Lytechinus pictus: one gene and its partners. The protein of the gene in region 3 purifies or fractionates together with the protein of the main gene of each other region. This does not show direct contact. Links are inferred from orthologs where the notes say so. Each region holds a gene or a part of one and is shown on either strand. Other genes may lie near its edges.

What was found.
Region 1: the proteins of 116 kDa U5 small nuclear ribonucleoprotein component-like (region 3) and peptidyl-prolyl cis-trans isomerase H-like purify together in Homo sapiens (affinity purification with mass spectrometry; 3 studies listed by BioGRID and IntAct, with this or other methods). This does not show direct contact. The link is inferred for Lytechinus pictus from reciprocal best matches to the Homo sapiens genes EFTUD2 and PPIH.
Region 2: the proteins of 116 kDa U5 small nuclear ribonucleoprotein component-like (region 3) and ubiquitin carboxyl-terminal hydrolase 39-like purify together in Homo sapiens (affinity purification with mass spectrometry; 4 studies listed by BioGRID and IntAct, with this or other methods). This does not show direct contact. The link is inferred for Lytechinus pictus from reciprocal best matches to the Homo sapiens genes EFTUD2 and USP39.
Region 4: the proteins of 116 kDa U5 small nuclear ribonucleoprotein component-like (region 3) and splicing factor 3B subunit 4-like purify together in Homo sapiens (affinity purification with mass spectrometry; 3 studies listed by BioGRID and IntAct, with this or other methods). This does not show direct contact. The link is inferred for Lytechinus pictus from reciprocal best matches to the Homo sapiens genes EFTUD2 and SF3B4.

The regions. Positions count from the first base shown.
Region 1 is NC_087258.1:26,234,907-26,242,361, forward strand, and holds the start of peptidyl-prolyl cis-trans isomerase H-like, read left to right. Parts: upstream 1-4,426; 5' UTR 4,427-4,824; coding exon 4,825-4,890; intron 4,891-7,455. Other genes in the region: N-alpha-acetyltransferase 38, NatC auxiliary subunit-like, read right to left, coding at 1-187. UniProt on the Homo sapiens protein: PPIase that catalyzes the cis-trans isomerization of proline imidic peptide bonds in oligopeptides and may therefore assist protein folding. Participates in pre-mRNA splicing.
Region 2 is NC_087262.1:12,999,788-13,006,795, forward strand, and holds the start of ubiquitin carboxyl-terminal hydrolase 39-like, read right to left. Parts: upstream 3,013-7,008; 5' UTR 2,988-3,012; coding exon 2,717-2,987; intron 1,850-2,716; coding exon 1,777-1,849; intron 1,098-1,776; coding exon 1,003-1,097; intron 1-1,002.
Region 3 is NC_087257.1:27,317,446-27,324,319, reverse strand, and holds the start of 116 kDa U5 small nuclear ribonucleoprotein component-like, read left to right. Parts: upstream 1-3,866; 5' UTR 3,867-4,188; intron 4,189-6,874. UniProt on the Homo sapiens protein: Required for pre-mRNA splicing as component of the spliceosome, including pre-catalytic, catalytic and post-catalytic spliceosomal complexes. Component of the U5 snRNP and the U4/U6-U5 tri-snRNP complex, a building block of the spliceosome.
Region 4 is NC_087258.1:12,072,922-12,079,795, reverse strand, and holds the start of splicing factor 3B subunit 4-like, read right to left. Parts: upstream 3,010-6,874; coding exon 2,895-3,009; intron 2,533-2,894; coding exon 2,387-2,532; intron 1,044-2,386; coding exon 915-1,043; intron 239-914; coding exon 58-238; intron 1-57. UniProt on the Homo sapiens protein: Component of the 17S U2 SnRNP complex of the spliceosome, a large ribonucleoprotein complex that removes introns from transcribed pre-mRNAs.

The DNA of each region.
Region 1 (7,455 bases), on a different chromosome or scaffold from region 3:
TGAACGTGCCAACCAGTGTCCTCCCATCTGTCATCTGTATCCTCATCGGTTGATTCAGCCATGATTCCATTCTCTTCCTCATCTCTGCCGCTCTGTCTCCATCGACTTGTTCCTGACCTGGAGCATCTTCTGCTGCTGAATTGAGCTTTTCTTCTCCTCCATTGATGGACATTCTAGTATCCTCCATGACTGCGTTCTTTTCCTAGGGTCAAGAAGAAATTAAACTTTAAAATATTAGTATTACAGTCAAATTTAGCGGACTATCTGCGTTAACAATTAAAACTTTTACCTTCCTTCCACAGTCCCCATTTTAGCATAGCTGTTTACAATTTAACATTGTTAAAGATTTAGATGAATTCTAAGTCAAGATCTCATCCGGAATTTTATTTCCACAATTCACTGTATTCACATACATGATCTCTGACATAACAACACCACCACATCATGTCATGGCATTCCTTTCTCTCAATCAATTTAAAGGGGAATCCAGCCTTGGCCATAAAATGTTGTGTTGGGAAGGAGAAAAATAAACCAACAGAATAGTGAAAGTCTGAAAGAAATCGGACAAGCAATAAGAAAGTTATAGCTGCTTTAAAATTGAAAACTCTAATACTATGTAGATTTCAAATTGGCAACTGGGTAAGTAAATTATGACAAGAGGCAAGGACAACTTTCCCATAGGCCATGTACTTTATTATCAGGGATTTGTGGTTTTCTCATAAGTACCCATTCCCCTGGGGCAGTAATCTAAATATAATCCAGGTAGTATATTGTATTATGTCCCCATGAAAGAAAAATATAATTTGAAATAAAACTTTTGGGGAAAATGACATTTTAGCCATAATATGTATTGGAGTACATGGAAGAGTAGTCCTTGCCTTACATCACTATGACATCCCATATGCGGCCAATTTGAAGTCTCCATGGGTATAGTGATTACCAATATTTACAACTTTTAAAAATTCATAACTTTCTTGTTGTTTGTCCAATATTGTTCAAACTTTCACCTATCAACTTGTCTGATTTTTCTTTTTCTAATAAAAAAAAGTTTTTATTTGGGTTGGATTCCCCTTTAACTATGCTAATTAAAGATTTTGTTAGACACCGTTCTCATTATAGGCCTACTTTCTAAAACCAGTTTACATGGAATCGGTTCAGGAAAGCAGTTTAGAAGATCGCTTCAATGCTAGCGTTCCCATTGATCAGCAGAAAATGGTTTTCAAAACCACTTCACGTAAAGTGGCCTTGTTGCTATGGGAACACTCTCAGTGGAGGTGACATGTTTCGTGCAAAATTGGAAACCGCAGCATAGACATTCTACACAAAGTGTGTGGAGTAACAGGCTCAAAACTGAAGAACGGTTGTGTCTTCACTTACGCTAAAACCAGTTTAACACAGCAAAGCGATCTTGAAAACATCACGAGGTGGTTTTCCAAACTGGTTTGGAAGATCACTTCCAAAACTGCTTCTACTGTTCTCATTACACGTTAACTAGTTTCCAGTAAACTAGTTTAAGGGTGGTAATGAGAACGGGGTCTTAGTAACGAGTGAAAGTTTTTCCATCCCATTAAAAAAAAGGAGGGTCTTCGGAACTACAAATGTTTGAGAAAACAGGGGTCCTTGGAACGTGCATGCAGCTAGCCCGGGGGCACGGGCGCCGGGTGTGCTCGCGCATAGGCAATGGTCGGACAGCGCTCTGCAGGCCACTTTCACCAAAAATGCAGCTCATTGTAGAGGATCAATGCGGCCGGAATGATGTTACAAAAAATATGCGAAGTATAGGAACGGATTTCTTTCTCTTTTTTTCAATATTATCACGAGGGTCTGAGCTCAGACCCTTGCGCATGCGATGTTTTGAAATCGGCAGCAAATTATTTATACGTGTGAGGAACTCGATGTTGGCTCTAAATCACCAATTTTGAGGCTAACCGGAGGATGGATATGGAGTGAAATTAGGATGAAAAGTAAGAAATTAAGCTTCTTATTCTTTTTAAGCTAGTTTCCGTATATAGGATTTTTACAATAATATGCATTTTTTCCCACCTTCACGACCTTTGCCACTCGGAGTATCAGAGCGAGTTTTGGACCTGGAGCCTCAAGTTGAGGTTCAGGTAGGTGGAGCGTAGTGTAGGCTGTAGCGGTAGTGAAGTGGAGTGGAGCCTGCACGAACATCACTTGAGCCCGGGGGGGCCACTTCCATTGACGAGTGGATACCATGCGCGACCAAGGGGTCTCGAAAAGCACCCTAAACACGTATTTTCCAAATTCTGAAAATGCACCCCTTAACAAGTATTGGCGTCTGAAACCCTACCCTTAACAAGTATTGGAAACAAAACGATACTCTTGGCAAGTATTCCCTGAAATGAACCCCTAAACAAGTACAGCGATATTTGATTGTTATGTCACGAGTCCATCGGTCGTCGGTTTTACCTTTACAGTTTACACACCATTTGGTTTAGTATGGCCCCAGCTTCCACACCTCGCGCAAATCGGACTCTAATTACTCTAAACACGTAGTGTTGGGGCAAAAAGGACATCCTTTATAAAACATTTTAATTTTGTTTATCATCCCCGCAAATTTGACCCTAAACACGTACTAGCTTTCCTAGCGAAATAGATACCCTTTTTTCATTATTTTTGTGTTTTTGACACCCTTATCACGTTACGTACGTAACGTGCCCTATCTTGAAAAAGACATCCTTTTTACGTGTTTTTTTGGTCGCGCATGGTATCCACTCGTCAATGTAAGTGGCCCCCCCGGGCACTTGAGGTAGGTTTCGTGAGGCACATCCCCATACATAAAAAAAAATTGAGATCAAGTGCCCCCACCAAGCTTATTTCCACTCCTGCTCCACATGCATGCTCTTAGTCTTAGTTTTTTATTTTATTTTATATTAACCTTATGATCACGCTTCCATGCCTTTGCATAATGCATGTTGTTCTCAATCTACACTAACTTTGTTTAGTATAATACAGGTACAGGGGGAAAGAGTTCCATATGCACCCCCCACCAAAAATAACAAGATTGTTGAGACTTCCGGTTCGTTCATCTCAGATTTTTCTATCATTTTTTTACTGTTGCTTACCTTAGTTGGGACTCTAACTCACCTCGTTTTATCTGCAGTCAAGACCACTCTAGGCGACACCCCAATACTTACCCGTGCTAATAAACTGGGACTCCACTCACGCGCATTTGGGCCGCCCTAGCTTAGAACTAAGCAATATTATCTAGAAATTAATAAACTCTAGTCATGAAATATGTTCTATTAAATAAATTGATAATGTTTAATCGGTACTCACCGGTTCTTTTGTTGCATTTTCAGACCATTTCTCACAAATTCTTTGTAAATATTTGCGGCAAATTTTGTCGCCATAGACAGCTATGCATCCATCTTTATTAATAAATGGAGCGCCCTTTACGATAGTTGTTAATGCCGCGGAGAAATCGTTAGGCATTTTGGCATGTGTTCAAGGCGTTCTTTCTGTTTTATTTTTTATATTGAAGATTGTGCATTTGTTGAATAGCGCCGTCTACGTCAGGTATGAGATCGAGTGTATAAATACACTCTTCCAAAATAATTATGATTCCGACCTGGCGCTGTTTAACTTCAATCTCTTTCACCTAAATTAGCGATGAATGCTAGCATTATAAAATATATATTATTAACGTCTGACAAAAAGAATAACCAACCGATCAGCTGACGAGAACGCGAATCACGTGATCTTCATATCAGCTTCGATCGCGAGTCAGAAGAGAAGAGCAACTGCCCAGAAAATCAGGAAAAAGCCGTGAAAATGTAAGTTCCCCTTCATTTCTTTCATTTTTTTGTTGTTGCTAACGATGCATTTACACTATAAAATTATAATTTAAATAAGAGAAAGGAATATAGCTTGTACTTGTGATATAATATATAAATATCCTGTTCTCAGAGATTTCTAACCAAAAATACTACTGATGTCGCCTATGAGGTCCATACATGTAATGTTTGGACCTCATTGGTACTAGGAGTGGTCAAGACCTCTTCCCGCTATGCTAGCGAGAAGCGCTGATACCGGAAGGGGTATTTTAATGATTATCAGCCGATAGCTCGACTAGTCTAGACTCACAGACCCTTTGGCTTTACTGACTAACTTAGTTAAATAAACTGATGTCTATGGACAATTACACGCACTAGATCCTGCTCGAAATTTGACGGAATAAAGCCATATTTTGGTGTGTATTTCCACTCCCCCATCATATATGTTCTAATCTATATTATGGCTAGATATATTATTCTGAACCTTCTCTATATTTTCATTTTCAATTTTAGTGGGGATGCACAGGGTTTGATGACCCACCGCATCACAGGCAAAACTTTACTTCGCCTCTTTAATTGCGACGCTATCCCGATTCGGGTATGCATTAACTTTGAGTATCTTATTATCCAAGACCAACTACAATATCATGATACGAATACCGGTAGTTGAATCTTATTCTTGGTAAAATCAAGCTTCTTTCATTACTTGCATATGAAAATGAGACCTAGGGCCTAAATAAAACTTAAGTTAGAATTCCAAGTTGTTTTTTTTTTACTTACCAGAGTCTAGATATCAGTAACTACTAACTTTGAGGTCCTTTGCGCTCATTTAGAGTGGTCTAACCAGCAGCTTCGTGATCACCGTACCCGCCTTCACCTTTGGTATACCGTACGCTCTCGACCTCGATACCGCGCGTGAGAGAGTGGCTAGTGCATGCAGTGGTGGTGTGCTAAAACCTTGCCCTTGGAAGTTGGAACACAATTTCATCACGTTTCTCTGGCTTAAGCTTGTCCTAAAAAGTTTGCAATGACGACGGGAGCTTCAAACCCAACCAACCCTATTGTTTTCTTTGACATAACAATAGGAGGGCAGGTAATTTTCTTATCATAATCATGTGCTCTCGGACCGTTAGTTACTCCGTGCCTGTGTGCTGTGGTCCCACGTGCTGATTTTTGTGAAGGCCCTGGGGCCCGTTTCTCAACACATGGACAAGTTAGTCATATACATGTATCGCCTTATCGGCATATCTTTATCCACCAACCACGGAGTTAGTTCCAATCTTACTAAACCTGTTTCTCGAAAGGCTTCCTAACTAGAATACCTTGATATCGATACTATCGGTAAAAAGAGCAGACGAGACGTAGCCTTAGTCACAAAATAGCATAATTTTCAAAAAGAAAAATTATAAATATGATATGACAAAATTGCAAATATTATGATGAATTGGGAAAAAAATCTTTTCAAAATAATAGCACAGGTGAATTATGCATCATACATACTTAGACCATGAAGACTGGAGCATTCAATTGCAGAGAAAATCAAATTATGAATAATTCATTTCATGACTAAAAAATCACTTGTGGACGTTGAGATGGGTACCCCCGGCCCGGCAGACCCAATTTTAATAGTTTACGAAAGTAAACCATAACGTTTTTTTTTGTAAAATGGTGATAATTATACGGACTTTTACGATTCCAAACGTCATCAAAATATAGTTTAACGAAACATTTTTAATCATTGATACCGAAAGATACGATATTGGACAAATTATATGCATAAATTAGAGATAGAAATTAGAATTCATCCAACTGTTAATAGGGGTCTGAAAACAACAAATACGAGTTCAGTTATGGATGGCCTGACGTGGTAGAATCTTTATCGATTAAATCATTTTACTATTTCAAAATGAATAGTTTTGTGGCGTTTTACCAACAGTTTATATAGTTTATTTGTATTACAATTATCATTGAATGCATTATCCCACTTGTTTTGTGATGTGATTTTAACCTCTATGATTGATTACGTAAGATTATAATTTTAAAATTTCTAGGCACTTTTGCATGTCATAGTCTACCCACGTGATGCTACTACGTCATAAAGAAAGAAGTTATGACAGGTTCGGATGTGTCATAAATATTTAGTGAGGTTGTTGTACCCGATCTTGGTAAAGAGGGCTTCGTGAAACGGTTAGCGGACAAGTAGCTCACTATCTCCGATTTAGTCAAGAAGTTAGACTTATGACGGTGTTGAGAAACGGGCCCCTGCATGCTAAACTTAGTGGCTAGTGGCAGTGCTATCATGGAGATCCTCCCAATTTAATTGGCCAATTCAATGGCATCGCCATTGGCAAAAATATGCGACAAAGTCAAAGATGTGTGAATGTGAACAACTTTCCCTTTGATTGAGCTTGATGGACTATAAAATACCCCCAAAATGTCTCTTTTTGCTCTAGTCTTAGTCTTATGCCTGGTGATACAAATTCACAAACTCTTCATCCTTAAATAATAATGACAATGTATTCTTTGAAAATCTATTACATGCCCTCAGTGTAGTCATAAGTCAAGAATACAAAAATTAAGAATAATATATCGTTGTAGATCATCTACTTCAAGGTCAACTTGTCATGACTTGTTTACTTTAGGTTGTCAATTCAGGAATACTCGGGACAGTCAGGTATACATATATGGAAGTGGATCGTAATCGTATTACCGCACACTTATCATGAATTCAAATTCAATCATACTGTATGATATCGAACACATTACTCTCACAAAATTCACCCCAAACTTTCACCATAAATACACAATTACCTACAAAATATAAATATGTAAAAATTTTGCCGAAATCGTTTTACCTTTTTACGATATTAGCTTCCAATCGATCGGACCCCTCTTCGCATGTGAAATATTTTGGTCACTTGAAAAAAGTATTGTATATTACCGAACATGTGTTTTCTATGGGATAAGTTGAGAAAACAACAAAAGTGTCTAGTGATGAGCTACTTTTACCATATTTTATTATTTTTAGAATATTAATACTTTGAAAATGTGTTTTTGACCATTTTTCATCATCTTTCTATTCAAGTTCCCTTTGGAAGAAAGTTGCAAGGCTTTGAGCGTATGAAATTATTTTCTGACGCTACGATGCGCGCGTTCGGTAATACAAGGCTGGTCGGTAATACAGTCACTCACTACACCATTTTGTTTCCAGTACTTGTTAAGGTTAGGGTTTCACACGCCAATACATGTACTTGCACTTGTTATAGGCATACATTTTCAGAACTTGAAAAATGCTTTTCGAAACCCCATGGTCACGCATGGTATCCACTTGTCAGTGCCCCCCCCCCCCCCCCCCCCGGTCAGATCTTATTGGCAACTGCAATTTTTAATAGTTTTACTAACAACCATCACGAAACGCATCTAACAAAAAATCAGATGCTATAGCGTTGTGTGTAAGTGTGCCTCACCACTGTGTTCAGTGCAGGTGTGAATGCAGTTGGAAAACACTCCGTCCATTGGAAAGGACGCAAATGTTGGTCCCGTGTATACGAGAGTCACAACCTATGCACGTTAAAACCAATACACTATTCGTCAAAAGAGTAGGGTGTTCACCAGGTGCATGCACCTGCCGGTACTACAATACTGCAAGAATCTTCAG
Region 2 (7,008 bases), on a different chromosome or scaffold from region 3:
TTATCCGTCTTATTTTAAAGGGGTTTTGTGAATTAAATAGTTTATTAGTTATGCATCTGTGTTTGTTACTTCAGATGATTTTTATGTCATTTTGTTATATTTTGTATAATTACTTGTACTTGTATACTTGATTGTAGTATGTAGTTGTAAACATAAAATGTGTTCGGTTCTAATCTTATAGTGAAACGATTTAGTAAAATGATCTTTAGAGTGAAAGATTTTGGTTAAATTGATTTTGGTTATTGAATTGTTAATTCAATGTTTCAGTTTTGTGTCTTCAGAGTAAAGGGTCACAATGATTGCTTACTATGTGTAATAATTGTTACTTTCCTTTTAAAGGTATTTGACATGACATTCGTGTAGCGGGTGAGGCTCTCACCAGAGGAAATATGGTCCTCTAGGCCAGATTGTCAGGGTGAGTGGTTATCATTCATTAACCACTGTATTTCAATGTTAATTTGTTGGCATATTCTAATTATTGTTTGGTAAATTTCACTTGATGGATGTATTTCATTTATTTGTTGGAAGAGTTATCCATAACGATGGAGGAACTGAATTTGTGATTAGATGAGTTGGATTCAGGCAATATTGATTAAGTTTAATGAATGGATATAGAAAACATGTTTATCATTTATTATTACGAGTCCACTTGACGTCATATTGATGAATGTTTATCTTAGAGTCACAAGCAAATATGTGTATATTTCTATTCTGTGCATTTTTTTAAACATATAATTCTATTTAATGGTTTTGTTCTTATTGGTTTTTACAGGTTTTTTCTATCTTTTGTTCTTGTACTTTGAATTTTGTATGTAACGATTCATCGATATTAAACGAACCGAAACACAAGGAATGGTGTCGTGTGTCATCTTTCTACATCAGTTTCCGCGTGTTACACTAAAATGTAGATTAATTTTTCTAAACTACATTGTTTTTTTAATCTAAAGAGATAACTAAGGTTTTAAAACAGTAAAAATACAGATAAAATATGGGTTTTCTTACCTTGGAAGTATTTTCCACAAACAAGGCAGGCATACACATTCAAATGAGACAAGGAGACTGAACAGAGCTTCTCAAAATCAAAATCCAACAAGCTCCTGTATGACAGAAATAACAAATTCAACACTGTGAAAATAAAAAGCACACATTAGGACTCACCCTGTAAAACATATTTTTACATTTACTATGTTAGATTGCAAGTCCTTGTTTATTACCTTTCATTTTTATAAATACTTTATATAGCTCTACCAGGGACTACATATATACAACACAGTTTCATTTTACACTTCATTCTTCATTCACTTTCTGTTATTCTTCCTTGAAGAAAAAAAAATCACATGTTTTAACAGTAAAGTAGGATATCGCAGACAAGGTCAAGTCAACTTTTTTCACCTTGCCATAATAATCAACACTTTGATTGTGGGCATCAACGGAAAGACAATTGTCTCGATTCATGATTGTGACTAAATGTTGTTAGATAAAATAGGAATTTGGCATTTAGTGAAATGAGTCCAAGTTAGTGTATCAATTCACTCTTTTGTCACAAAGGTGAAATAAATCATTTTCTTTCTATATCAATAGCATGACACAGTTACATGTACATGTAATGTAGCAAGTGATGCTGCCCCATCTCTATCTGAATATAAATTCATTATATATACACAATGTCAATGGGAAGACTATCCAAAGGATAACAGAGCTATGCAGGCCATATCTTTGACTTTTCTTAAACCAAAGTTTTGTCACTCCAGCCGTGTTTCCTTTTGTAGTTCACACCTGTTTATGGTGTCCAGATAGGGGCAACTTCTGCTCTTGTCTTCTCTTTGTTGCTTTGGAATCTTAGACGGAACTGTTGAATGAAATAAAGAAAAAGTATATTTCATCACAAGTTGGTCACATGCATGTAAAAAATGTAAGAACGTTGTCAAAATCTATCTCAAACTCAAAGTTAGATTCTCATGAAAATCTTTTTCTTGCTCTATTTGCTCACTGTGGACTTACAAGTTACATTACATAACTTTTATTTTCCACCAGGGCATGTGCTGTGTCCCCTCTTAATATATACCCCTGTTATGCCCCTGCACAGACTCGTCTACAGATTTCAATATTTATAAGCATCATTGTAAAATTATGACAAAAAAATAATAAAGGCCAATAAGCCTAGACTAGAGTAGAGACTCGCGAGCGTCAGGTGACAACTCGCCTTGGATTTGCATGTACATGACCCTATTGCGACAACAGCCGTCGCGAGAGTTGGCCAGAAGAGGGGATGAAATCACCAAATTTTTCAAAAAAAGAAATGGCGAGTAGGCCTACCGATTTTATATCAATTATCAATATCATAATTCATAATCGTAGATTAATATAATAATAATTAATAATATGACAGACAGTCAAAGAAGAAGTAAGACCGAAATTTAGAGGACTTGGCTGGCATTTAACGACCAAACTCACACCCGTTTGACTCACTTTCTCAACACGAAATTAAATAGGCAAATTGCCTAGACTCTAGAGTGGTGCGAAACTGCATTAGCGCCCAATTCAATTGCAATGTGAACAGCTGCACTAGCCAACTTGAAAAATAATGGAGTGGGACCAAAGTGAATCTAAACGTTAAATTAATAATGGCTTTCCGAGGATATGAATGATACTATTGGTGAATTTTTTTTTAAATTAAATATAAAAAATAAAGATGATAAACTCAAAGAATAGATACCGTAATCATCATCACTATCGTCATCATAGCTTGCATCGACGAGGGGTCTTTTCGCATTCTGCGTGGAAGTCGCCATCTTTTCTTTGACAAGTACAAAAGCGCCATCGCCGTTCGCGTTTGTACAGATTATGTTATTTTGTATACTCAGTGTGAAAATTCCAAATAATATATCTAGTATTATTATACATCTGGGGTGGTATTCTGAAAACGTTCTTATCTTTGTTCTTATCTTTGTTCTTATCTCAATGAGATAAGAAGACGCTAAAATCATTGCAAATCGGTATTCACCAACGAACGTAGAGGGCAGCAACACACAAGCGTGTTGCTATAAGGAAGGTCAACTCGATACGCGCATGCAGCTGAGCTGCGCGCGTATTTTATTGTTCATGCCTACGAAATCAAATGCCGATCCAATACAACAACAAATTAGTAGCGATCAAAAAACGAATATGAAAGAATATGACTACAACGTATCAAAGATAACTTAAAAAATATGTTGAGGAATATACATACATATAAAAACATACTTTGATATTTAAAACTTTACAAATATAAGTTTCAAGAAACTAAAATCATTACCAAATCGGTGATTGTTGTTATCAGCGATTTCACCAGACGGCTGTATTAGGTGATTTGCGTCGAGACGATTTTGTGACCACTCGCAAAGCATTTCGGGATTGAATATAACCACCTTATTTTCTCTGAGCTCTTCGCTGAACCCATCATCACAGTGCAGCTGCAGCGCAGCGCGCAGCCAATGCAATGCATCCGATGCATGGGTTGTTTTTTCGCCGTCCATGCCATGGTCTCGGACTCAGAGTTGAAATTTAGACCCGGATTTCGGGGATACAGCGCCTTTATTTCAGATTTATAGACTTAAAAGTCAAATGACATTTAAAATTTGAAATCTAACCTTGAACAATCATCGTTGATAAACATCAGCCCTGAAGCCATTACACTTCAAATCAGGCCAGGCAAATTAGATGTCATTGTCTAAGTTGCTAGATCTATGACGAGTCGCCTGAAGCCCCAGCGCATCATCAACGTCACTAGCTAGCTGCGCGACCGGCCCAGACTGGGCGCACCCAGGCCAGAAAAATGACCTCGATTATTACGGTGGTTGTCTATGCATTTATTAGTGGTGCAGCGAAATTCAGCAGAAGAAAATAAGAGATATGAGGTATCCTCGTCACAGGCTTAATATTCCAAAATGAGGAAAAATGTCAAAATCATGATTATTTAAGCTAAATATTTTCTTTAAAAATGTAAGTAATATTTTTAATATTTATACCCAGAATAACCAATCTAATAATTGTTCATTAAAAAATATTTGAAATTAACAAATGAAAAAAAATCAACTCGACAAATTTCCCAAAACCCCACCTTATTTTTTAAAGTGGTCACAAAATTCGAGCGGAGTTGACCTTCCTTAGAGCAACACGCTTGTGTGTTGCTGCCCTCTACGTTCGTTGGTATTATTCTGAAAATCTTCTTAACGCGTTCTTATCTCTGTAAGGACTGCCTCCTTCTTATCTTCAACACGCCCATTTTTAGGATATTACCAATCAAAATGCGTGTTATATTGTAAGTTTAACCAATAGAAGCGTTCCTTGTGTGAAGAGAATATCATGGGCGCTGCGCGTACACTGTTTGTGGCACATTGCGCGAAATAGGCATTTTATACGCAATGACTGATTATTATTTCGAGACACGTGCACAAAATAAAGAAACAAATTAAAGAAAAAAGGTAAATAAAGCAAATACGAATAAAAAATTAAAAAAAAAGAAGACAGTAAAGGGTCAGAATGAAGCACAAATAAAAAAATATGAAAGGAACAAAGCAGAAAACAATGAAAAAAAGAAAAGGTAAACAAAAGAAAGCAAGCAAAAAGAACTTTAAAAAAAAAGAAAAGAAAGAAAGAATAAAGAATGAATAAAAGAAAGAAAAAGGAGGAATGAATAGAACGATTATTAATGATAAAAAGAGGAATAAAAAATGAAAGAAAATAAAGAAGGAAAAAGAAAGAAACTTTACAAAAAAAAAACCAAAAGGGACAAAATAAAAAGATTACAAAGGATAAAATGAAAGAATACAATAACCTTAAGAGAAATAGAAAAAAAAAACGAATGAAAGAAAGTAATCAAAAGAAAAAGGAAGGAATTAAAAAACTGTAAAAAGTAAAGGAAGAGAGAAAAAAGGAAAATAGACCAGAAATAAAGAAAGAGAGAGAGAGAGAGACTCGGAGAGAAAGAAAGAAAAAAGGAAGAAAGAGAAAAGATGAAAGGATAATTAAAGATAAAATAAAGACTAAAGAAAGATTGAAGGAACGAACGGTAAAGCAATAAAGAAAAAGAACGAAAAAGGAAAATAAAAAGGCGGGAAAAATAAAGAATGAATGAAAAAAAAAGAAACGAATTAAGATTGATGGAAAGAATAAAGAAAAAAAAGAATAAAAAATAACAAGAAAAGATGATAAGAGAAGGAGAAACAAAGAAAAATAAGGAAAAAATAAAAAATTAAGGGAAGGAAGAAAAAAGGAACAAACAAAATGAATAAATAAAACAAATATAAAGACGAAAGAATGAATGAAAGAAAGAAAAAGAATGAAGAAATAAAAAAGATAATGAAAAAAAAATAAAGTGAAGGAAGGAAAAAAAGGGGGAAGAAAGAAAAGAAGAAAGAGGGGGGAAAATAAAGACTTAGTAAAGGAAAAAAGGAAAACAAAGAAAAATAAGGAAGAAAAGAAAAGATTCAAAAGAATAAAACAAGAGATATAAATAAACAATGAAAGAAAGGAAGAAAGAGAGACAAACAGAAATGAAGAAAATGAGAAAATAAATACAGAAAGAAATAAGAGATAGAAAAAGAGACGGGCAAAATAAAGGGTGAATTAAAGAAAGGGTGGAAAGAATACTTGTTACTACCAGTGGCCATCGATTTTGAGAAAGAAAGAACGCGGACATCCTGAGATGTGATAACCCTCTAGCTATCTTAAATATTATCATAAATATCGTAAAGAGATAAGAAAGATAAAAGATAAGAACGTTTTCAGAATACCACTTATCTTTATTTTGTTCTTATCTTTTAGCGCGCTTTTGTATCATATGCGCGAATTATAAATTTACGCGCTCAGCATCGATGGAAAGCAAGATAAGAAAAAGATAAGAACAAAAGATAAGAAAAAGATAAGAACGTTTTCAGAATACCAATTTGAGAACGTGACGTAGATAAGAACAAAATTAAGATAAGAACGTTTTCAGAATACCGCCCCAGTTTATCTATTCATTTGGTGTGTTGGCAGAGATAGAGTCCAAATATATTTTAATTACTATGACTACAATCAAGGATGACTCAAAATGATCGATCTCCAAGCATTTGCACTTGCTCAGAAAATGACATTTACATGTACGTATACTTTTCCTTGAAAAGTTTCACAAAGACCCAAATATTTTATGGAATTCATAATTATGCTCCAGAAACAGTTTTGCAATCGTTGGGCAACACCGGACCCAAATAGCAGATTCCGGACTCGGTACAAAATTTATATAGAAAATGACACCTTGGAAATATTTAATTGTAAATTTTCTTATTTATTGGGTCTTGTCAACTGAAACAATGTGGTTTACCTTGAAGTTACCTTGAAGTTACCTAGATGGCCACATCTCACTGTCTTCACGACGAGCCGTGTACAGATGAGTGTGGCATGGTTTTAAGGAGGCTAGCTCTTAGAGCCCATTTAAAAACCCAATTTTGATAATGGTGTCTTAAATTGCAGGAGTGTTGGTGCCTCAACTGTGGACTGTGGGATTTTATTCCATTGGTTGACAACCCTTTGGCTAAAGAAGTGTTTCCTTATATCCAGTCTAGATCGTCATTGCTTGGCAAATTTGAGAGAGTGTCCTTGTTCTGGCACACTCTACTCTCTGGAAATAATTGTCCGGGTTTGATTTGTCCATTTGTGTAATGATTCGGTATGTTTAATCGATCAATAAGATAAAAATCCCCCCCCAAAAAAAAAAAAAAAAAAAAAAATTGTTATCAAATCCACCTCTTTCGGGATATTTAGGCCTATTGTTATTTTAAGAATAAATTCTGGATTTTGATAGGCCCCTATCTCTCGAAATGATAGCCAGGAGAATTTTATATATATATATATATATATATATATATATATATATATATATAGAATATTGCTTGTGAATGGCTAGAAGATCTTGTTGATGTTGATGTACATGATACAATTATTACTAAACTACTGTGTACATCCTACGGATACAGGTGTATAACGAAG
Region 3 (6,874 bases):
AGCGCGAAGCGCGAGAAAAAAAATCGAGATTTAGACCTAAAATGGGCCACTCTGTTCATGTTTTGTAAATCATGAAAAGGATGAGTAACAGGGGGTCTTCCTACATTAATAATGCGAGAACAAAGCGCGAGCAGAAAATTGTTGATATTGTGATCTGAAACTGGATAATGATTTATATATAAACATGCGCGCGCGTGTTTCATATTTAGCATGTTTAGACCTAGAATCTAGGCATTCTAAATACATCTTTAATCATGAAAATCATGAAACGTTGATATTCCGATCTGAAAAAAAAGTAAATTTCAGCTTTATTTTAAAGGAGAATGAAACCCTTGAAACCAGCTGAATCCATATCAAAGAGAAAAATCAAAGGAACACATTGTTCAAAGTTTGAGGAAGATTGAATGAATAATAAGAAAGTTATGAGCATTTGAATATTGAGATCACTAGTGCCATGTAGATCCTCCCATCGGCAATGCGACCAAGATCTGTGATATCACACACGTACAACTCCCTCATTACTTTAGTACTTATTTCACTTATATTCTCACTTTTATAGAGTCTATCACAAGGTGAGGTGTTCTCTTTATGAGATGACAAGTACAGAGGTTTCACAACATTATATCATTGATGAATCGTTTGTCATATGATTAGAATGAGCAAAAATAAATATTTTGGGGTATATTTTCAGTGTCCAAATGGGAGAGTTGTACGTGTGTGACATCACAGATCTTGGTCGCATTGCCAATGGGAGGATCTCCATAGCATTAGTGATCTCGACATTCAAATGCTCATAACTCTTTTATTGCTAGTCCTATTTTACTCAAACTTTTGTTGACCTTATTTTTTTATTTTTCTGCTTTCACAAAAGCTAACTTGCTCCAAGAGTTTCATTCTCCTTTAAGCACTTTGTAGGAAAATTGTAAGGTGGATATGGATCGCACTTAAAAAAGAGCTGATATTTTCATTATTATTACTTTGAGTTTTTACATAGGACCTGGGGGGCGTTTCATCAATATTTTCGTCCGACAAGTTGTCAGATCTGACAACTTTCCTGGATTCTGATTGGTTGAGAAGCACTGTTACTATAGTTACTGTCGGATAAAACAGGACTTGTCGGATAAAACGTCCGACAAGTCCTTTCATGAAACGCTCCCCGGGACATCCTTATGACATGTCATCATATGAAAATGATGACTATCTTCCTAAGCGCGAGATGAAACAAAAGGGACAATTTAATTATTAAATTAATATATTTATTAATGCCTAATGAGGGCGCGAAATCTGATGATATTATGGCATAAAAACTGGACATTTCACTTTTGTAAATATGAATAGGATGCATCAGTTAATATATTTTTAACCATTAATGCGAGCGCAAATCGCGAGCTAAAATTTTTGATAAACTGTCATGAAAAGGGGAATTTAAGTAGTTAGTTGTATAATCAATATTGAAACATACATAATTCGCCAATCAAAATGGCAGTATGAAACGCTAGCTGATACGTCTTGACAATCAGACCTGAAAAGGGATATTTTGAAAAAATTTGGAATACACGAAAATAATAGGTACCTGATAAATCAAAATTTGTGAGCGCGGAGCGCAAGCAGCAAAATATTCAGACCATAAAACTAAAAAAATTTACAGAGAACTTTTTAAAAATCAATTTGTAAATCACACAAAATAATGAAAGTTCGATTTCCGAGGTTTTCTGAAAATTCAGGGGGGGGGGGTCCGGGCCCCTGGATCCGCCTATGGGGACAAGGGGCTGGAAAATTTGACAAGCAAAAAAAAGGTTATCATCCCAAAAGTAAGGTCATCTCGACCCAACTCGTCCCAAAATAATGTTTTATTTCGATTAAGAATGATGTATTTCTTGCCATCATAAAAGACCAAAAATAGTAGGGGGACATTTGATATTGTGTCCCCCCTACTATTTTGAGTAGGGGGGACACGTCCCCCCTGTCCCCCCTGGGATTTCCGCCCATGGAGGGCGCAAAACAAGACAGGAGATGAATGCGCAGGGAAATGACATGAAGTTTCATCAAATTTGATAAAAACCTTGTTCTTTTTTTATTCAATACGACACGAATTTTATACCATCCTCTTATTAAATTAGAAACCTGTTTGCCCCCAAATTATGAATGTTTAGTAACTAGCTGAAAAGCGGGAGAAGTGGCCTATATGGAGGTGACGGCAGAATTTGATATAAAGATTTTACACGCCCGGAGCCCCCCCCCCCCCCCCCAGTGCGGAAATGTTGCGTGAAAGAAGAAGATAACTTCATATAATTCGGCCTAACCTTACTCTAATGCCATGCCCTAATGCATACTTGAACTTTAACTATAGGAACACACTAGTCCTATAGCCGAGGTGGAAAAACAGGGTTAGAGAAAGGGTGATGGAAACAAAGGAGAACTGCAATATTGTAATTTAACCGCGCGAAGCGCGTATGCAAAATTAATCATTATAAACTTAGAGCGAGAGTGAAGGGGTTTCGTTAAGGTCCTAATTCTTTTGAGAAAAAAAAAGAAAAAGAAAAACCCACAAAGCTACATTTCTTCCATTTCCTCCCTTCGCCTTTCCTTTTCTCCTCTTTTTTCCCCCTTTTTTTTCTTCTTCTTTTTGGGGACGTTTTGGAGGGGGGACCGCCCCCCCCCCCTGGCGCGCACCTGCAGCCTTACTCTATTCAGAATGTTGAGAATAAAATTAGGAAAATAAAAGGATAAATTAAGGGGAAATACAAAATTACAAATTGGGATTATCAAAGGAGGCGTAACGCTAGGCCTACATACATCATACCACTGTTAATTATAACCCCCCCCCCCCCGCCGAATGCTGGGGCCTCCCCTGATATTCTTTGCCGGTCGAGAGCTAATGTTTTCTAGGCCTACTTTGGTTTCTATCTTTGACTGAATATTTAAACGAAGCAAAACAATGGCTGACCGTGAACAAATTTCAACTTTACAAATATCACAATATGATCACAGCAATTTTTAAAAACTAAGATTAGAAGTTACTGAAGAGCTATATCCTCTAAAAATGAAGACATGAAGCCGACAGAATTATGGGGGGGGGGGGGGGCACAAAGCGCACCATCGCCGCTCCCCAAATTTAGGGCGGGTAGAACATAAGAGGAAAGAAGGATGGCCAAGGGGGTTGATGAAATTAAAGGTCAAGTCCACCCCAGGAAAATGCTGACTTGAATAAATAGAGAAAAATGAAACTGGCATATTGCTGAAAATTTCATCAAGATCGGATGTAAAATAAGAAAGTTATGACATATTAAAGTTTCGCTTATTTTTCACAAAACAGTGATATGCACAACTAGGTGAGTCAGTCGATGATGTCCATCTCTCACTATTTATTTTGTTTTTTATTGTTTGAATTATACAATATTTCATTTTTTATAGATTTGACAATAAGGACCAACTTGACTGAACCATATAGTATTAAACAATGCTAATTCCACATGTTCAGGGAGGAATTAATCATTGTATCACTTGACAATGAGGAGAAAATTAGAATATTTCATATTTCATAAAAATATAAAAGAAATAGTGAGTGAGTGATGTCACCTGCAGTTCCCTCATTTGCATACTAGCCAGAATGTGCATATAACTATTTTGTGAAATTAAGCGAAACTTTAAAATGTCATAACTTTCTTATTTTACATCCGATTTTGATGAAATTTTCAGTGTTATGCTTGTTGGATTTTTCTCTTTTTATTCAAATCAACTTTTTGTTGGGGTGGACTTGTCCTTTAAAGATTACACTTTCATAGCTAGACATCGAACTTGGAAGGGGGGGGGGTGGCCAGGGGAGTCTAGGTATTGTTTGATGACGTTCGATAACGCTCATTGGTAGTCTAAAAATTGAGACTTTGATAGTAGCAATGTCGCGGTAATAACGTTTTATCAGGTTGACTTGAATTCAAATACAAAATATAAGAAGTACAATTGTTTTGAGGCAAAGAAGTTTTAAATACTGGACTTTGCATATCTACGAAAACAAAATAAGATATTGGTCGTGGCTTGAAATGGAATCCACTTTAACAATTCGTTGTTGATCGATCATGCACGCGCTTATGTTTTAGACTATTATCTTCGCCGCATGTATGGTGGCGTTTCGTCAACGAAAAGCGGCAGATTCTTGTCTGGATTAAAACCGTTAAATATAGTAATAAGGTAAGTGATCTTAGCATCTTATAATGTCATGCTTATTTATTGTAGAATGTCTCGTTTATTTTTGATATTTTGATTCAAATACTCGAATGTATGGGAATAATATTCGACCTTTTTCTGGTCCACAAAGTAAAGTGTAGTCCCATAAATTTCATATTGTGTAAGTCATTCATGCAGAGACTCTCCCAGGCCAGGCATGTGTGAGGTTTCCGCGTTTTTTTTAAAATTCATTTCCGCGCTTCTTTGCTCTTTTCCGCGTTTTCTATTTTTCCTCTTTTTTTCCCTCCTATTTCTTCCGTTTTATTGTTAGCCTTGCAAAACAGACATTAAAATATATGCGTAATTTTCTGTAGAAATGTACGTAATTGAGCCTTTTTGAGGCGATATTTGTAAAAACGACTGTTGAAATAGTCTAGTCACTCTAGACTCGAGTCTAGCAAAAAAAGGTATGAGCTGGTTTTCATCGCATGTGTCGTGATGTCGATGATGTGCAATGGGACAGCGCCGTAGTAGTACCGGGACCCTAGCCCGCTAGTGTTTGCTGACGGGCCGCTCATTTTGCCTAAGTCTAACTTAGAGTTAGACAGCTGGCACTGGCAGCCTTCTGTTTCGAGGAGTTTTTTAACATTTTTTTATTTTTTGTTATTTCTCCTCGTACACAGACAGCTCGCGATCGTGCAGCCGCCATTAGGGGGTATACAATGCGAAATCTCCCTGACGGGGCTCATCGATGTTTGTCTTTATTTCATTTAAATATATAATATAAAAAGAACTGGACCAAAATAAAGATTATTATTCCATTTTGGCCTGTAATGCACCAAAACGGGAAAAAATAAACCTAAAAGGGGAAAAAACAGTGACTTACTTCGGCTGTCGCGCAACTCCCACTTCCCTGGTTTATCCGAACTTAAATAATACATAAACATATGGCCTTTTGAGTCCCCGTACAGATCGAGTTTAGAACTTTGGTCTCTGTAATTGGTGAGTGGAGCCAACAGAATTCAGTGGAACATGCAATATAACAGAGACCGAATCTTTTGGTCCAGCCTAAGTCTAACGTTATACCAAACGCTTCAGTCTCTGTATTTTGGTTGTTCTGCTGAACTGCGTTGGCTCCACTCACCAATACATAGACTGATGAATTGTTGGCCCGTACGTAAAGCCAACGTATTAGTAGTATTAGCGCGCATCTTCCTGACAAAGTCACAAAGACGAATGCATTGAAATGGAAGTCGCCAACATGCGCGATCGTTTGGAACATGTTTAAAAAGGGTTTTGAGGTGTTACTGCTTTGAAATAAACCGAGTGATTTTTATTAGAAAGATAAACGAATGACACATCTTCCGAGCAAAGTCGCAAAGGAAAATAAAATGAAAATAATTATTCATAGATCACAGGTTAATGAACGATCGGCGGGACATCTTTTATAAGTATTTTTAGGTGCTAGCGATGTAGAATTATTGGAATGATCTCTTGATCTCATACGACGCATTGTATCTTAAAGTCGCAAGTGAAATTAAAACGTAGTAGAAGTCGCAAGCACACGCGATGATTCGGAACATGTTATTAAAATGTTGTGAGGAGCTAGCGTTTTCAAATCAATTTATTACTATCTTGAGAAATGAACTTTTGATATCCAAGAAGAAATAGAAAAGAAGCATCTCCCGACGAAGTTGCAAAGACAAATAAATTGAGGTTGAAGAGAAGATAACGATGTAAGAGAGTAGCGCAGTGATGTCCGTCAATAATACAACCTTTAAAAGTTCACGGCGGCGTCCGCTATCACCACAAGGTTGAAGAGAAGATGTCTATCATAAACGATTCAAGAGAGTAGAGCAGTGATCTCCGTCAATAATGCGACCTTTAAAAGTTCACGGCGGCGTCCGCTATCACCACGAGGTTGAAGAGAAGATATCTATCCTCGTAAACATCGTCAGATAATACCACGTCTTTCTCCCTGATTAATGCGACCTCTAAATAGCTAGCACCTCAAAAAAAATCTTGAAAAATATGTTCTGAACGATCACGCACTGTATTAAAACTAGATCTACGCCGATTTTTTATATACGATTTTTTCCTTCAAGGGGCATGATCGAAGATCGGAAGGTGATCGCCGATTGTGGTAAAATCTGATAAAATCGGGAGCAGATTAAAAAATTGGTTACAGCCTTACTTTCAGACCTTGTAAGTAAGTAGATCTAGCTAGGCCTATTTCATCTAGATCTAATGTTAGGCTCAATAACTACAGAACTGTAGGCCCCTATTATTTTTTTGTACAGTTTACCAACTCAAAAAGTATGTAGAAATGTCATCAAAAGTATGCTTCAAATTGCACCATTTGTCATACGAAATTCAAAAAGCGTCACGCAGGGCCACACCCATCCCCTGCTTGGTCGCTCCGCCTCCGCTACCTTGGGCCTCAATTGTTGCAGCAAAATATTTTCCTCCACATATTTTTCTACCCCACATGCCTGCAGAGACGACAGACGAGAGATAGAGGGCTGGGCGATCGCGAGCAAGTGCAAGGGAAGGGAAACTTTTTTTATACCCGGTAATTAAGTATTTATTAAGAATATAACAACATGATCAACACAAAATTCAACTTAAATCAAGAAAATTACGACCATAAATAGTAATGAACATATTTACATGTCATAAAGAATATGACTTTCATACATGTATGAATGTT
Region 4 (6,874 bases), on a different chromosome or scaffold from region 3:
GGTCAAACCATTATCAATTTTGTTAGAAAATTATTAATTAACCCATTAGTTCCATACCTGCTGCCGAGCCGTGCCTCTCTCCTCTCGAGTCTTTCTTGAAAGCAAACGAGATGGTGATCGCCCTGTTACACAGATACTGTCCATTCATAGCCTCGATGGCTGCGTCCGCTGCCTCAAAGCTGGCGAAGTTGATGAAAGCGTATCCCTTGGAGTTCCCGGACTCCACGTCCCTCATTATCTATGAGAGAGAAAGAGGAAACTTAGTATTGTTCTTATTTTTTTGTTTGTTTAAATATAATACTTTGATTAGTTTGTTTTTTGTGGGGAGAGAAAAGGTGAGCATTCAATAGTGGTCCATATAATAATGAAACACGATGTGAATCATCAACATTATGAAAGGTAGGCCCTTTGGAAGAATTAGATTTTCACAAAATATTCTGCAACTATTATCCTCATCCCTTATCCAAGTTTGAATAGGGAAAAATTGTTTGGGGTAACCCGATCAACCTTGCAACCTTGGTAAAACCTGCAGAGTGCAGACTAATATTTTTCAAAAATTCCAATTTGAACCCCCCCCAAAAAAAAAAGAGAAGAAAAATGTGCCAACAAGGCCCAAAAAATCCCTAATTTTCATACCATTTTTTTTTTTACAATTACACATTCTAAAGCGATAAAAAAAATTATAAATTGGCAAATGACAGTAGAACATCCTCCATATTCTGAACAGAAGACACTTGTGCCTAAAAAACCCTCAATCTCCATTAAAAAAAAATTTAGGAACTCTTTTTTATACCCGAAAAAAAAGAGAAAATACTTCAAGCATTAATAAGAAATACCAACCGACCCCAACCTTTTTCCCTTTGACGCAGCAAACCATTTTTTATGGCATTATATGAATGTAAATCAAGCTTTACCTTTGGTGTTTGTAAGATGACGCCAAAGGCACTGAATGTATCATACAGGAGCTTCTCATCAATCTCAGGATCTAGGTTACCGATGAAGATATTCGCTCCAACATCCAGGTTCTTCTGATGGGCCGATGCCTAATGAGATTTACATGGATCTATTAGCCACACAATATCATTGAGTGCGAGATACACAGCTTTCATGAAGTCAAAATTAATCCTGTTTTGATCTTCAAATTGTTAACAATCATTTATTTTCTACTCATTTTCATACTTAAAATAATGATGAAAGAAACGTTATTTTGAATAGTTGCCAATTTGCATTTTCAAACACTGATTTGTTATTACTTTTATTGTGTTGCCGATTTGGAGTGTAATGATTAGCTGGTAAATGGCTTTTATTCAGGACAGACTGTACCTTATACTGCAACGGAAATGATCTCATTTATTTTTAGGACATTTGTTCTTTCTTACCACATTCCATGTATCATTGCTAGCAAGCCATGGCGTGTGTTCCTTCAGCAAGAAATTTATCCACACTGTGCATGCTGCACTCAACCCAGGTGAGGTAAATGGATATACCGGCAAGAAGTTTTCCTCAAAAAGCTGTGTGCACCAGAATTGGTAGACTAGCTTAGCCGGGGTAATATAGGAGCGCCTTGAGCACCTAGCAAGGTGGATACGTGCGCTATACAAATCCTATATTATTTAAATATTATTCTAAGAGAAACGGCAAAATTGTGTCCTACAGGAGAAATTGTACTACCCATAGTTATGATAGCTTTGTGTGAAGAGCATATATTAATATTACCATGGAATAATTTTGCTTTACAAATTTCAATAGCATTTTTTGGTCATTAAAGAGAAAAGCTCTCAACTAGTAATGCACAGTCCTATGTAAAAATATGCTATACAAATGACTTCATGTGCAGCAATCTTTAAAAAATGTGGAGCAAACTGCGATGCGACACCAGGAAAATTATTCCCTGTATTACCATGGCAAAGCATTACCCTTCAAGACCAATGTGTGTGCAAAGTCTTGGCTGTGAGCTGAGGACATATTCTAAGTCAGTGGTGATCTTGGTCTCACCCCTATTTTGTCTACTGCCAATTTGGTTGCAGCCTGGATGATCTCATCTAGGCCTAGACTCATCAAATTTTATGTACGATCAATTCCTCTGATGACCTCCCGGTGGGTGTTTCACAAGTTACAAGAGAATTTATGAATGAGTGATGATCCATTATTGTGTTAAATGATATACACTAGAATTGCATCTATAGGTGTTGATATAATTCCTAAGAAAATATCACCGGTCGATCGTAAGGTAGCTGGTAACTTACAAACAGTTCTATGATATACCCATCTTGTCTAACTGCCACTTTGTCCTTTTTACCATTACGTCTAAATTCCTATTTAGGCTAATATAGGGGACAATTCAATTTTCTCTTTACATACAGCATCCAACATGGTATCAACTTACCTTATTCACTCTGACCGGTTTACCATAGAGCTTTATCATGTTCAGCACCTTGATGGCATAATCGGCATCCTCCTCCCCCATGAATTCCACAAAGCCATAACCCTGATGCGACTGGGTTACTCTGTCCTTTGGCATGTGGGTGTTTACTGAATGAAAAAGAAAATTTGGAGATGAGGTTGCTACTTAATACTAAGAACTACAAGTACATGTTTGCTGATTTCTTGAAAAAAAAATCAATTGGAAATCCTTTGGCTTTACACAGCTTCTCTTGTCATAGTTTCCATTCAATTTTCAATTTCCTATGGCTATTAGTGGATGTATTCTATAAATACTCATACTTCTCATTTACAGTATATAAGGGATGCGATTATTGTTCTTCTATTTGACATAGCTTACTCCTAACAAGCCATCAATAAGAATTCTAACTTTGTGTTTTCACAATGAAGACACCTTCATTTCTTCAAATTACAGCCCTCATTTCATTCCTTATAACAAGACTGAGACTTACCGACAGGACCGGCCTGTAGGAAGAGTTCCCATAGTAATGCCTCTGTCACCTTCTCATCCAAGCCTCCGACATAGACGGTAGCATCTGGATCATCAAAAAAATGACAAGCAAACATCATTTGTCATTTTCTTCTATAGTAATAACAACGCGCCTCAGAATAGAATAGTTCTAGATAGATGGCGCTATATAAATGCCTATTATTATTATTATTCAACTCAAATGTAACACGATGATGAATTGAATTGAATTGAATTGAATTTATTAGAACTTCACTGGCAATTGCCAGTATTTTGTTCATAACAAGGGCCCGAATTCACAAAGGTGGACTAAAGTTATACCCGGGGTATAAAACGCGTCATTTGACGTCATTTTAATCCATGGACTAAAGTTAGCACCTAGGGGCTAACTTTTGCGATTCACAAAGGTCGACTAAAGTTATACCGGGGTATAAAACGCGTCATTTGACGTCACGACTTAGTCAGCTCTTTGGGGTGGACTAAATCGGTGGGTTAAAGTTAGTCCACTGTTTTAACCAATCAGAGAGCAGCATTTCGATTGCGGAAAAGTTTGCTGCAAGAAAAAAGTTTTTTGGACAGAGACGAGATTCGGTGTGATCGGCTTATCTAAAGCTTCATATTTCACGACTTCGACCGAGATTGTAAGTAAATTACATAATTGTTGGAGCTTAAATCATGACGGAGCCTTCAGTTCCATCTGTAACTATTATTGATAGCTTTAACTTTCCAAAAGGTATACTCGAAAACTTGAAATGGTATCTGAATCATTGTTATCGTCGCGTCTCTAAGCTGCTCAGTCCCAGCCATGTACTTTTGTGTGCGTTCATATCTATGAGCATTGCAGTGCGAGACGCAATTAGCATACACTACACAGGCCAGGTAGGCGTGATTGAAAGGTCGATACTATTTGCTAGTTATGTCAGGCAGTGAGTGATTTTCGATTTCGTGTGATTTTCATGGATTTTTTGTTGTCTACGATACCCCTGCCACTCCTCCTGGCCCTGCCAACACAGCTACTGTGCATCTAATTTTGTCTGAGACTGAAGCAAGGCCAAGGCAAGTCCAGGAGAGCAGCAATACAAATAAGTTTTTTTTTAACACTACAATACAGAGCCGGTCTAACTTAGACATTCTACTCTGGGCTGGCTTTGTCTTGGCTTGGATAGATGGTCAAGCTATGAAGCTTACCTGGTAGCCATGTTAGAGTTAGTCCTACAACATCGTTGGAGTAAAAAAAATATTTTAATAAGGGTCAACTCTAACTTAAGCCTAAGGCTAAGCCCTGATTAAATTATTTTTTGAAAAAATATTTAAGAAAGATTGGGTTCCACTCACCGCTGTTTACTCCAACAGCTATAAATGAGCTGATTTTACTTTTACTAAAACTAAGTTTTACTGACCTTCGGCATTGCATTTGCGATCACTTATAGATTTACGGTGTCGTCAAAACATTAAAAAATAATGGAAATCCTAGGCCTAATTGATTATTTGAGTAGATCTAACTGAGGTCTAACTTTGAAAATTCTCTCTTTAGGGGGTTATTATAAACTCTACCCCACCCTCTTTGTTTCAAGTATTTTTTTTTCACAAGGAGTCCCAATGTTATATTCACATGAGACCACAGACAAGTGCATTTGATCTTCAGTCCTCTACATTTGTAGTAGACCGATAAATAGGTTTATTTCTGTCAGGGATATGCTCCCCTGAGATTTCATGTGGCTCCGCAGCATCCCGTCCCACCAAAAAAAAATCAGAAAATGTTGAACGACTCCTCTGAAACAGCGGATTTTATCAATCTACATTTGTAGCTGCTTTATTATTTTTTTCTTTGATATACCTTGACATTGCAGTATGATTGATGAATAAATATTTTTTTCATTATTTTTTTTCTTCCATATCAGCAACAGACCATACATACTCGGCAGATTGTGCTCAATCAAGACAAAGCAAACATGGCTCCAATTTTGAACTGCTGTGCCGTCTTGCAAGAGAGTGAGGTATGCCTTATCAATTCATATTTTAAAAAAATTAAATGTCATTAAAATGGCCTTTTTTAATAAAATATTATTTCTGGGATTTGAATTCATCATGTAATTGTAAATGTATCATGTGACATGTATGTTACTTTTTCATTCTTGTCATAGTAATTGACAAAAAAGAAGAGGGGGGGGGACCTTGCTTGTGTGTTATTAACATATATATTTGTCTACTGGTCACTAGGCTTGTTGATCTCCAATTAATCCTGACATTTTGTTGAATATTTATTTAAAAGAGAGAAAGAAAGCATTGTCAGTTTGATGAATGCCGGGGGGGGGGGGGGGGTAGAAAAAAAGGTTTAATGAGACTTTGATGAAGATTCATGAAAATATGTTATTCGAAAGTCACTCGCAAGCAATAACCTCTATTTGTGTAAACAAAGTTCCATAAAATTAGTGCCTTGCCTTCATTATTAAAGCCAATTGAAAGTGATTCAGTAAATCAGTTTTCATAGAAGCATCTCTATGACGTGCGTGGTTTGATCAATGATGATGATCAGCAACAATTGGCAGGGTTTTTTTCTTCACTTTTACAAGTAGGTAAATAGAAAAGCTACTCATGTCAATTAGAATTTTTATCCTTTCTTTTTTTTAAGGATTTCTGTATAATCTTTCACATTCTGTTCCTCATTTTAAACACTTTTGAATTAAATGAAATTCAAAGATAAATTGCCCATTCATGGTGACTCTTAAACACAATCTTTTAACTTCCATGCAGATTCAGCAACACATAGAAAGACCACAGCATGGATTAAGAGACAGGAAGAATCCATTTGAATACTACGAGGATGAACCTCTCAGAGTGGGGTACCAACAGAGAGAACCACACATTGCCTGTCATGTTACAGGTTTTGACAGGACTTTGTTTTATGTCATTGGTGAGTTTTCATGTGCGAACTGTAAAGCAGAGGGTAATTGGGGGGGGGGTCAAATTATGTTCTATGAAAGTGATTTTCCAGGCCAAAAATGATGAGATTTTGATAAAGAACAATTCGACTAGCAAAAACCATCAATATTGGATGGAGAATTATGAATTGATTCAGTTTTAAAGTTTTACATAACTTGGGGGAAACAGTTCTGTGTATCTCATATGCAATATTCATATCCCCACTTGTTCTCTAGTGATCTGAAATCATAATCATTATTTTTTTTCCTCCAGGAATGTAAAAATGGGGTTGACTGCTGATTATATATTTAAGATAGTTATTGCGAGTTCAGAATAATGTAAGGATCAAGGATTGGAAGTATCTAGTCATGAAAATTAAGTTTTATGTTTTGCTTAGCATGCAGATTTTCCATTGAGTAATTGTCGCCAGAGCAAATATCATGGAACCCTTGTACATTCATGTGTGGAAAATGTGTGGATGTGACATCATCAGGCTATTTCTTGCATATTCATGAAAACATGCACATGTTTCACAGAAATAATTAATGCAAAACCTAATATTCATTATTAATCATCCAAATTGTATGATTTTTGTTTCTGCTTTCAGCCAGGAGTACTAGTAACCCCTTACAGGGGAGGGGGAGTGTTGGGGGTATTTCACAGAAAGGTTTTTGTCGGAATGAAACATGTAACCCTTTGGGTTGGAAATAGGTGGGGATTTTATTTTTCTCTCATTTTTTACAATGTAGCAACATTTTTTAATACAAATATGTCATATTCAAGTGGGAAATTATCATGAAGGATGATTTATAACCACCCAAAAAGAAATATTGGTATGTCATTTCAGCTTAACAGAGATATTCTCCATTTTGCATGGATTGTTATTGCAGTAGAGTTTTTTTTTAATGAATCGAAGAAAAATCTCTTTAAGCAGTTCCAGTGCATCATAAACATCAGGTCATAACAGAAGCACAATGTTTGCAAACGTAAATGGTTAAGTATCAATTGGCTTTCATATCAATAAACCAATTACATAACATC